Drosophila melanogaster: one gene and its partner. The protein of the gene in region 1 purifies or fractionates together with the protein of each later gene. This does not show direct contact. Each region holds a gene or a part of one and is shown on either strand. Other genes may lie near its edges. The genes, in order: MME1 and Obp56h.

The links.
Region 2: the proteins of MME1 (region 1) and Obp56h purify together in Drosophila melanogaster (affinity purification with mass spectrometry, with the first as the bait; one large-scale study listed by BioGRID). This does not show direct contact.

What each region holds. Positions count from the first base shown.
Region 1 is NT_033779.5:7,025,313-7,029,493, reverse strand, and holds MME1 (mitochondrial magnesium exporter 1), read right to left. Parts: upstream 1,969-4,181; 5' UTR 1,684-1,968; coding exon 1,567-1,683; intron 1,507-1,566; coding exon 1,074-1,506; intron 1,005-1,073; coding exon 828-1,004; intron 768-827; coding exon 595-767; 3' UTR 535-594; downstream 1-534. Other genes in the region: CG31908 (uncharacterized protein), read left to right, coding at 2,717-2,770, 2,859-3,337, 3,676-4,181. UniProt on the Drosophila melanogaster protein: Mediates efflux of magnesium ions from mitochondria, suggesting a role in magnesium homeostasis.
Region 2 is NT_033778.4:19,813,408-19,816,851, reverse strand, and holds Obp56h (Odorant-binding protein 56h), read right to left. Parts: upstream 1,299-3,444; 5' UTR 1,276-1,298; coding exon 1,222-1,275; intron 1,164-1,221; coding exon 813-1,163; 3' UTR 648-812; downstream 1-647.

The DNA of each region.
Region 1 (4,181 bases):
TATCGCCGTTTTTCCAAGTGTTTTTTTTCAACGTCTCTTTCAGGAAACGTATTATATTCAAGGAAACACCAAAATGTTTTTCGCACAGAAGCCGGTGTGTTTTTAAAGGTATCGATTCGAATTGAACGAAATAGGAGTAAACGCGCGACCCGCCAGCGTCCAACTTTCTCCGCAAGTAGTTTTCTGATTAAAAGCAGTAGTACTTATCTCGCTGCACTTCCAATTCTAATATTGTCGATCTGTTCGTTCCGCTTAAAAGCTTTCGATTGCACATCCAATTGGAATGAATCGAAACTAAGCTTAAACGTAAAGATACTTTTGCATGTAAAGTAAAGTATATTTTAAATGTAAGCCAAGCTAAACCGTAAAGATACTTTAGCATGTAAAGTAAAATATATTTAACTTTTAAAATCGGATACCAATTATTGGCGTTATATTTAAAAATCCATTAATATCCCTCGGTTACTGCGCATAGCTAATATTTCAAACATTTTGTTTATAGAATATCAGAAATCCAAATAAAGCAAACTCAACCGCATATGTAAACAATATTTAATATTCTAAACAGCCTCTCTGAAATACAAATTCTTAAATTTAAGCCTTCAGCAAATCATTGGTTAGCTCCACGCCGAAGAAAACTGCTGCGGTGGAGGGAAAGGCACGAAGTAGAATTGGCAGGATACCGCGAAATAGAGCTTTTGGGCCTTCTGTGGCCATGAGGTTTCTAAAAACGCTGCGAATGCCGTGCTTGTATGTTCCCTCAGGTGCTAAAAATATGGCATTTATAAATCATTGTAACTAAAGCGATTGGCGATTGGATGACTCACCCGACTGGAGACGGCTTTTAAGTACATCGAACGGCACGGCCAAAGTCCAAAACACAATGCCCGCCGTTCCGCCGGACAGAATAGTTGATGTGGTGCTAATCTTTCCATTGGCGGACTTCTTTCTAGCCAATTCCTGTAGGAATTCGTAGGTCACAAAGTAAAAACCGGTGGGCGAGTCTGTAAATTTTAAAATTATCCATAACTATTATATATACTATAATATTAAGCAATTAATTAACAACTGACCTCTCAGAATGCACGCGCATGTTCCCTTGAAGAGGCTCCGAATGCCACCCTGCCTATATAGCTTGGCGGCCGTGTCAATGGTTCCATTGTAGAGCAGAGGTCCGTTGGACACGGTTTGCGTCTGCAGAAGGACTTTTATACGATCGGTGGGCACTGTGACGAGGGCAGAACAAACTCCGGCCAAGGCTCCCGCGGCGAAGATTTGTGGGTAGGTGAGCCTAATGTGGTCATCCGTTTGGAACAATCGTTTACCCGCCGCATAGACGGCAAAGTCCACGGCATAGATGGGTGTTACTCCCACAAGTGGAGCGGATATTCCTCTGTAGAATCCGCGAAAACCCTCATAACGAAATGTCCTGGCGGCACAATCTATGACTCCCTTGTATCTCGGCGGCTGTCCAGGTGGAGGTGTGGGCATGGTTTGGAGACGGACCTAAAGTGGAACTTAAAGCATTACATCGTTTCCATTTGTAAACACAGTTTTGAAGCTCACCTTTATTGTGTCCAATGGATGGCCAACGAGCACATTGCACATGCCTCCCACGCCGCCCGCAATAAATGACTTTACGGGATTGGATTTCTTTTCTGTGCTGATTTCGACCTCCTCCATTGCTGAATTTTAACTATTTACGTAAACACGCCGAGAAATTCCGTCAGCTTCTGAACGAAATGCACGTGCTTGAAGATCGCTGGCTTCCTGATGAACGCTATCGCTTGGTGATCTGCTTGCTGCGCGGTTGCTGACCTATGATAATGCTGTGTGATTCCGAATAGCGCGGTATTATAATTTCCATGATCAATAGTGCCTCTTATCTATTTCAAATATTTCATTAGCTGTTCCAAAATTGCAGAGGGAACAGCTGATTTGCTTATCATGTTAACAAAACATACACCTAACATTGGCTTAACATTCAGCTATCGATTGCAGTCATTAGTATGACATGGTCAATCGAAATATTAAACAGAATGTTCATTCTTCTTTTTAGCGTTTCAAGCTTTATAACTTAAAGTTTGCTCTGCACGACATTGTCATTATAAATAAAATAAATTGTTAGAAAATTACATGCAAAACAAATTTTAAATTTCCCGTTCGATTACACAGTCTATCGGACATTCTGCGATTCCAAATTTCCATCGACATTCGCAGGGAAACGCGGGCGGCGGCCACACACTTCTTTTATTAATAAAGCGTTAAAAATAAATGGTTAACAAGTGTGGCTATCAAAGGTGGGTGGGCCAAGTATCTTCTGGCGCAGTGCTGGTTGGGCCAGTAAAGTGCAACCACTTTTCCAGTTCCCGTGCAAACGAACAAAACCTGTCACTTTTGCTGTGACCTGATAAGCAAGAAGAAGACTAGCCCACGGAAAGCAACAACAACAACAACGAGAACGACATTAGCAGCAGGCCAAATTGTTGCGTATTGTTTTTTGTTTTTTCAGTAGGGTTCTTGGGTGCGAATTTCGTGAAAAAAGTGTGCTTGCCAACATACGCATAACTTATGTCTGATAAAAGTGCGAAGGAATCATGTATCAGTAAGAGTGCGAGCTGCAGCAGCAGGCGCAAGAGAAGAAAGTGAGCGAAAACGCAACCGAAACCCGAAGTATATATTCTAGCAGCAGTCGAGCAACGTGCTTTGTCGAACGATGTCCCATGGCGAGGATGTGTTAGACAACTGGGAGGAAATCGACGAGGATGGGGTGAGTGCGCCACGCGATGTGATTGAGCATCATACCTGATAACCAATGGAACACCCCCCCCCCTTTTTTTTTATTTTTTCTTGCCCAGCTCTCTATGACTCTGCAAACAAAGCTGCAGACGAGCGACCCACCTGTCAACAAAATGAAATTGCTCCAACGGCCGCAGAGCGTACAGGAGTCCTCACAAATCCTGAGCAGCGGCGATGGTGGCGGCGGTGGTGGAAACGGGGGCGGGAATCCCCCGCCACGGCAGATCACCATTGCCCGGAAGCCCCAAGTACCGCCAGCAGAGGTTGACTCATCTACCCAGCAGGAGCAACAGCAGCAGCCCGTCATGATGGTGCTGCACAAGACGACCAATGACTACGATGCGGCCACCTATTGCACGCCCACCAGCAACCAGACCGTCAAGATACTGCGGCGGCCCGCCCAGGCGGAGGAGCGGCGGGACATTAACGGAATGCGACCGAAGCAGCCCATCAAGACGCTCAAGCAGCGAGAACAGGAGTACGCCGAGGCCAGGCTGCGCATCCTGGGCGCTGCCAAAAACCCGGAGGATGACAAACCGTATGTTGCAATAACAAGTTGATTTAGTTTCCAAATTTACTTTATTTGATTTATTTTGGTACTAAGAAAGCATAACTTTTATGTTTGACCAATATTTACCATCGCAACACTAATAGGTGGAGCCAAATGACCTACCAGGATCTTGCCGATATCCAAGTTAATCTTAAAATTTCACTCAGAAGTTGAAGACTGACCAATGTTTATATATATAATTTACTTTGTTATAAATATTTTCTTGATACTAGAATATTTCTTTATGATTTGGTCTAATTTATAGAGATATCTAAACAGAAACCCACATTTAATCAGACATATGCACATATTCGTTGTTTTTTTAGGGCCACTCCCATCACGCCAGCTGTCAATAGCAGCAGTGTGGCTGTTTCGTCCGCGGCGCCGCCTGTCACTCCCCCCTCTGCGATCAGCAACAACAACGTCATCAACAACAATAGTAGCCATCCAGGAGGCGGAATGCACCGCTCGAGTTCGGCACCGAAAATGTCCCAAGTGACGCCGATGTATAATAACTACAACAGCTACTTCCCGGGACTGCACAATCAGCCTGGCCTTAACTACTACTATCCGCATAACCCGCAACATCAGCATCAGCATCAGCAGCAACAGCAGCAGCAGCCGTCGCAGCATTTCAATCAACGGTTGCCGCCGTACGGAGGCGGAGGATCGGGACTGGGCGGTGTTGGGATGCAAGCTCAGGCGCCGCCCCAGTCGTCGCCCAATCCGCAGCAGAGCTGGTCACCTGTTGTGGGCGGATCAGTGTCCGCCGCCCTCCTGCGCCAACAGTCGCTGCAGTCGCCACAGCAGCACCAGCAGCAGCATCAGCAGC
Region 2 (3,444 bases), on another chromosome or scaffold:
GGACAAGTGCAACGAACCGCGTTTGTCTTCCTCCATTGCAGGCTGCTGCGGCGTTGATTTATGTAACATCTTCTATGGTTACATTGGCTCTCGATCCCATACAATCCCCGTTCGCCCCGATTTTCGCCATTAAGCGCAGCTCATATGTTACCCGAAAGGTACGTACATATGGGTATATATATATTGTAAATGGAGGCAGAGGCGGGAGAGTCTCACACGTGAAATGATTTATTAGCGGTAATTGGTGTCACAGTGTTCCAAAGAAAAGGAAAGGATTCTCATCCCCACATCCCGCATTCCATCCGCCGTCTTCTCGGTTGCCTGGCACCCCCTTGTTTCGAAGTTCTCTTTTAATTATCTTGATTTTAAACTTATTAAAATTGACAAATGATTTTCGTAGACAACATTGCGTTGGCTCGAAGGAAACAGGTTGTCAATGACGGCTTCCCAGAATCTCGAGAGTTGAGTTCTTTAACTCTGCCTTTTCCGTATTTCTGGTAGTTGTTAGCTTATCATTCTGGGCTACCCGAGCGATTTCTTTTGAACTGGGTTTTGGGCTCAATGTGACGCACCTATGTAGTTGGATTGGAATTCCGATTAGATTATGATAGGTAGTATCTTGAAATAAATAAAACTCCTGTATGATTGCATTATTTAGCATTAATAGGATTTTGCGATTTTAATGATAACTATATAGGCTTTGATAGTTATTCCTGTTATTATCCCTGCAAATAATCTTTGATTTGGTAAAACTTGAACAAGTTTATTTTACAAAATGCAACTAAGCCAACTAGGACGAACAGGATCAGGCATTAGTGATGTCCTGGAATGGCCTTGTGCTCCTTCAGGCACATGGTAACCTTAAAGGCCGTGTCGCAATCGTTGGTTCCCTTGATGTCCTTGCAGGCATTCACTCCCGAGGAAATCTCGTCCATTTTGTCCTTGATCTGAGGCACATTTTTGAGAGTGTCGAGCATAGCCTGAGCATTGAACTGGCCATTGGTGAGATGACCCTGCTTCTCCATCAGGCACTTGGTGTAGCACTTGAGGTTCTCCTTGGCACTGCTCTGCATCCCGCTGGCCATGAACTCCTTGAGATCAGCCTCGGTCACTTGGTTGGTCTCCATGCACTGTTGCATTATTTGGCGAAAGTCCGGATTACACTACGAAAAGCAAATTCATGGTTTAAAAACAAATGTACACAGTGCGTGCATATTTCACCTGTCCCATGGACAAAAAAGCTGCCAGAGCAATACAGAATAGGGTGAACTTCATTTTGAGGTATATATTTGTTAAAGCTGTTCCGGGTTTACTCGAAAATTTCGACTGTTGGTCATTTGATTGAAACTTGCGGCTTTTATACCAGATCAGTCTGAATCAGAATCAGAGGGAATGCAATTAAGGCAATTAAACTTTTTGCGAGATGAATCGAAATTTGATTACGCACAATACGGACAATTACTACACAACAAATTTCCCTTTTTCGATTGTAATTATATTCCATTATCAGTCCATTTGCCATATTCGATGGCCAGGCTGGACAGAAACTTGCTACACAAATCAGCAAAGTTAGTCGCAATTAGTTGCCGGCCCCCCACAACAAATCAATTATTCATTTATTGTATTTAGATGCGGTCAGAGTTTGACAATTTTTGGCCTTTGTTTGAGCCATTCACACTCGCCCAATTGATTTGCATACCATTTGTTCTGGCCTTTCTGCCAATTGCCGAATCCCCAATTGATATTTCAGAAGGCATTTAATCTCACATAATCACAGCAATATATCAGAGAATTCTGCCATCGGACGAGAGTTGGCGCTGAATAATTTACCAAATTAGCACAGCTCTAGCAAACAATTTGTAGCAAAACGATAATCATGAACTCCACCATTTGTGAATCATTAAAGTTATTAAAAATTCAGTTTTATTAGTACTGTGCTTAAAATGTTCCCTTATCAGATAAGGTTGTCATTGCGAATTGCATTTAATTTCCTTCGCTCTATTTTACACTTATTTAAAGTGCCAGCTAGTTATTGCTTAATGACAATTTACTTACAACAGATATGTAATTATAAAGTCTCATTAGTCGAAAACGTGAATTTAATTACACCATAAATTAAAAAAAAAAAACAACTTATAAAATTAGTAGCGTGTGTCACAAAGTGTAATACTTTGTATAGCATTCTTTTATAGTGCCAGAAGCAATTTATTTCAATCTGACAGCTATCAATATCTAAAAAGGTGATCTCATATATCTACCTATTCATCTGCAGACGTTTTTAATCGAAGTTACAGATTGCTTAAGTCTACTGTGCATATCCATAACAATTAAACATCCATCAGTCCCCTACTCCATGTATGATACTACAAACATTTGTCGGCCGAGTGGGAGAGCGTTGGGTATATATAGAGATATAAAATAACTTGCATAATTCCTGGGGAAATTCAAATCAATAGACAAACAATAAGCTCGAGTTCGCAGGCCAACTGCCATTTACAGGAGGGCTGTGGAAGCCATGTTGACAGCACAAATAATTTATGCCTTTGTTATGGAGAGAAGAGCACCTGCCCAAGTCGAAAAAGGAGCCTGTTCAGTTCCGTTCTATGCCTGGTCACGCCCACTTTGGCCCTGTGCCCCTCGATGTAAGTTGGATTTTCGTTTTTCGCCAAGAAACAAAAAGAGGAGTCCATGGTCGAAAGGACGACGCTACCAAGTCGAAGCAAAGTGGTTGACAAAAGGCCGAGCGGTTGGAAAAGCGGAGAGGATTCGACTACCACTGCTTGTCATTAGTCAGGCAGGATAAGCAAAAGGACATGGCCATAAAAAGGGCAATGCGATGGCGCCCGAACAGGGACACTTGCTCAGACACAAGGTGTGTCTCTGTGTTCTCTGAATGAATTGCTGAGTAACCAGTAATGAAGTAAAACTGTTCAAGTCCTGAATGTGTCATTGTGGCACGGGCCAAGCTGGGGAGACGACAACCGAACACAATTCACTGTCAGTTGCATTGTTTTGACCTGATTTACATGCCCCAGCCATCCAGCCAGCCAGCTCAACTGATATTAGGAATAGCCGAAGACCGTTCGGTGGACTTTTATAAATTACAAAGGCCACCGCACAAAAGGCGATAGATGCAGGATGCCAGGATGGCTCGGATCCAGCTGTCTGTCTCCTTCTCTCTATATATCCTTTCCCACTTTTCCTGGCTTTCCTCCTGCCTTTCCGGCCAGCAGACGACAACGATGACAGGACGAAACAAAGGCCAACGTTAATAAGCCAAGAGAATGGCGCTAGCCGTAGCAAACGTGGCTAAATAAAGAGCGGGGCAAATTGTAAGAAAGCAGAACTGTGTCACAATGTTTTGACAGGAGTTGGGGAAGAAGTCCTGAGGTCCTGCCCGAGCAGCTAGAGAAATGGAACAGGACAACACAGGACAACTCAGCT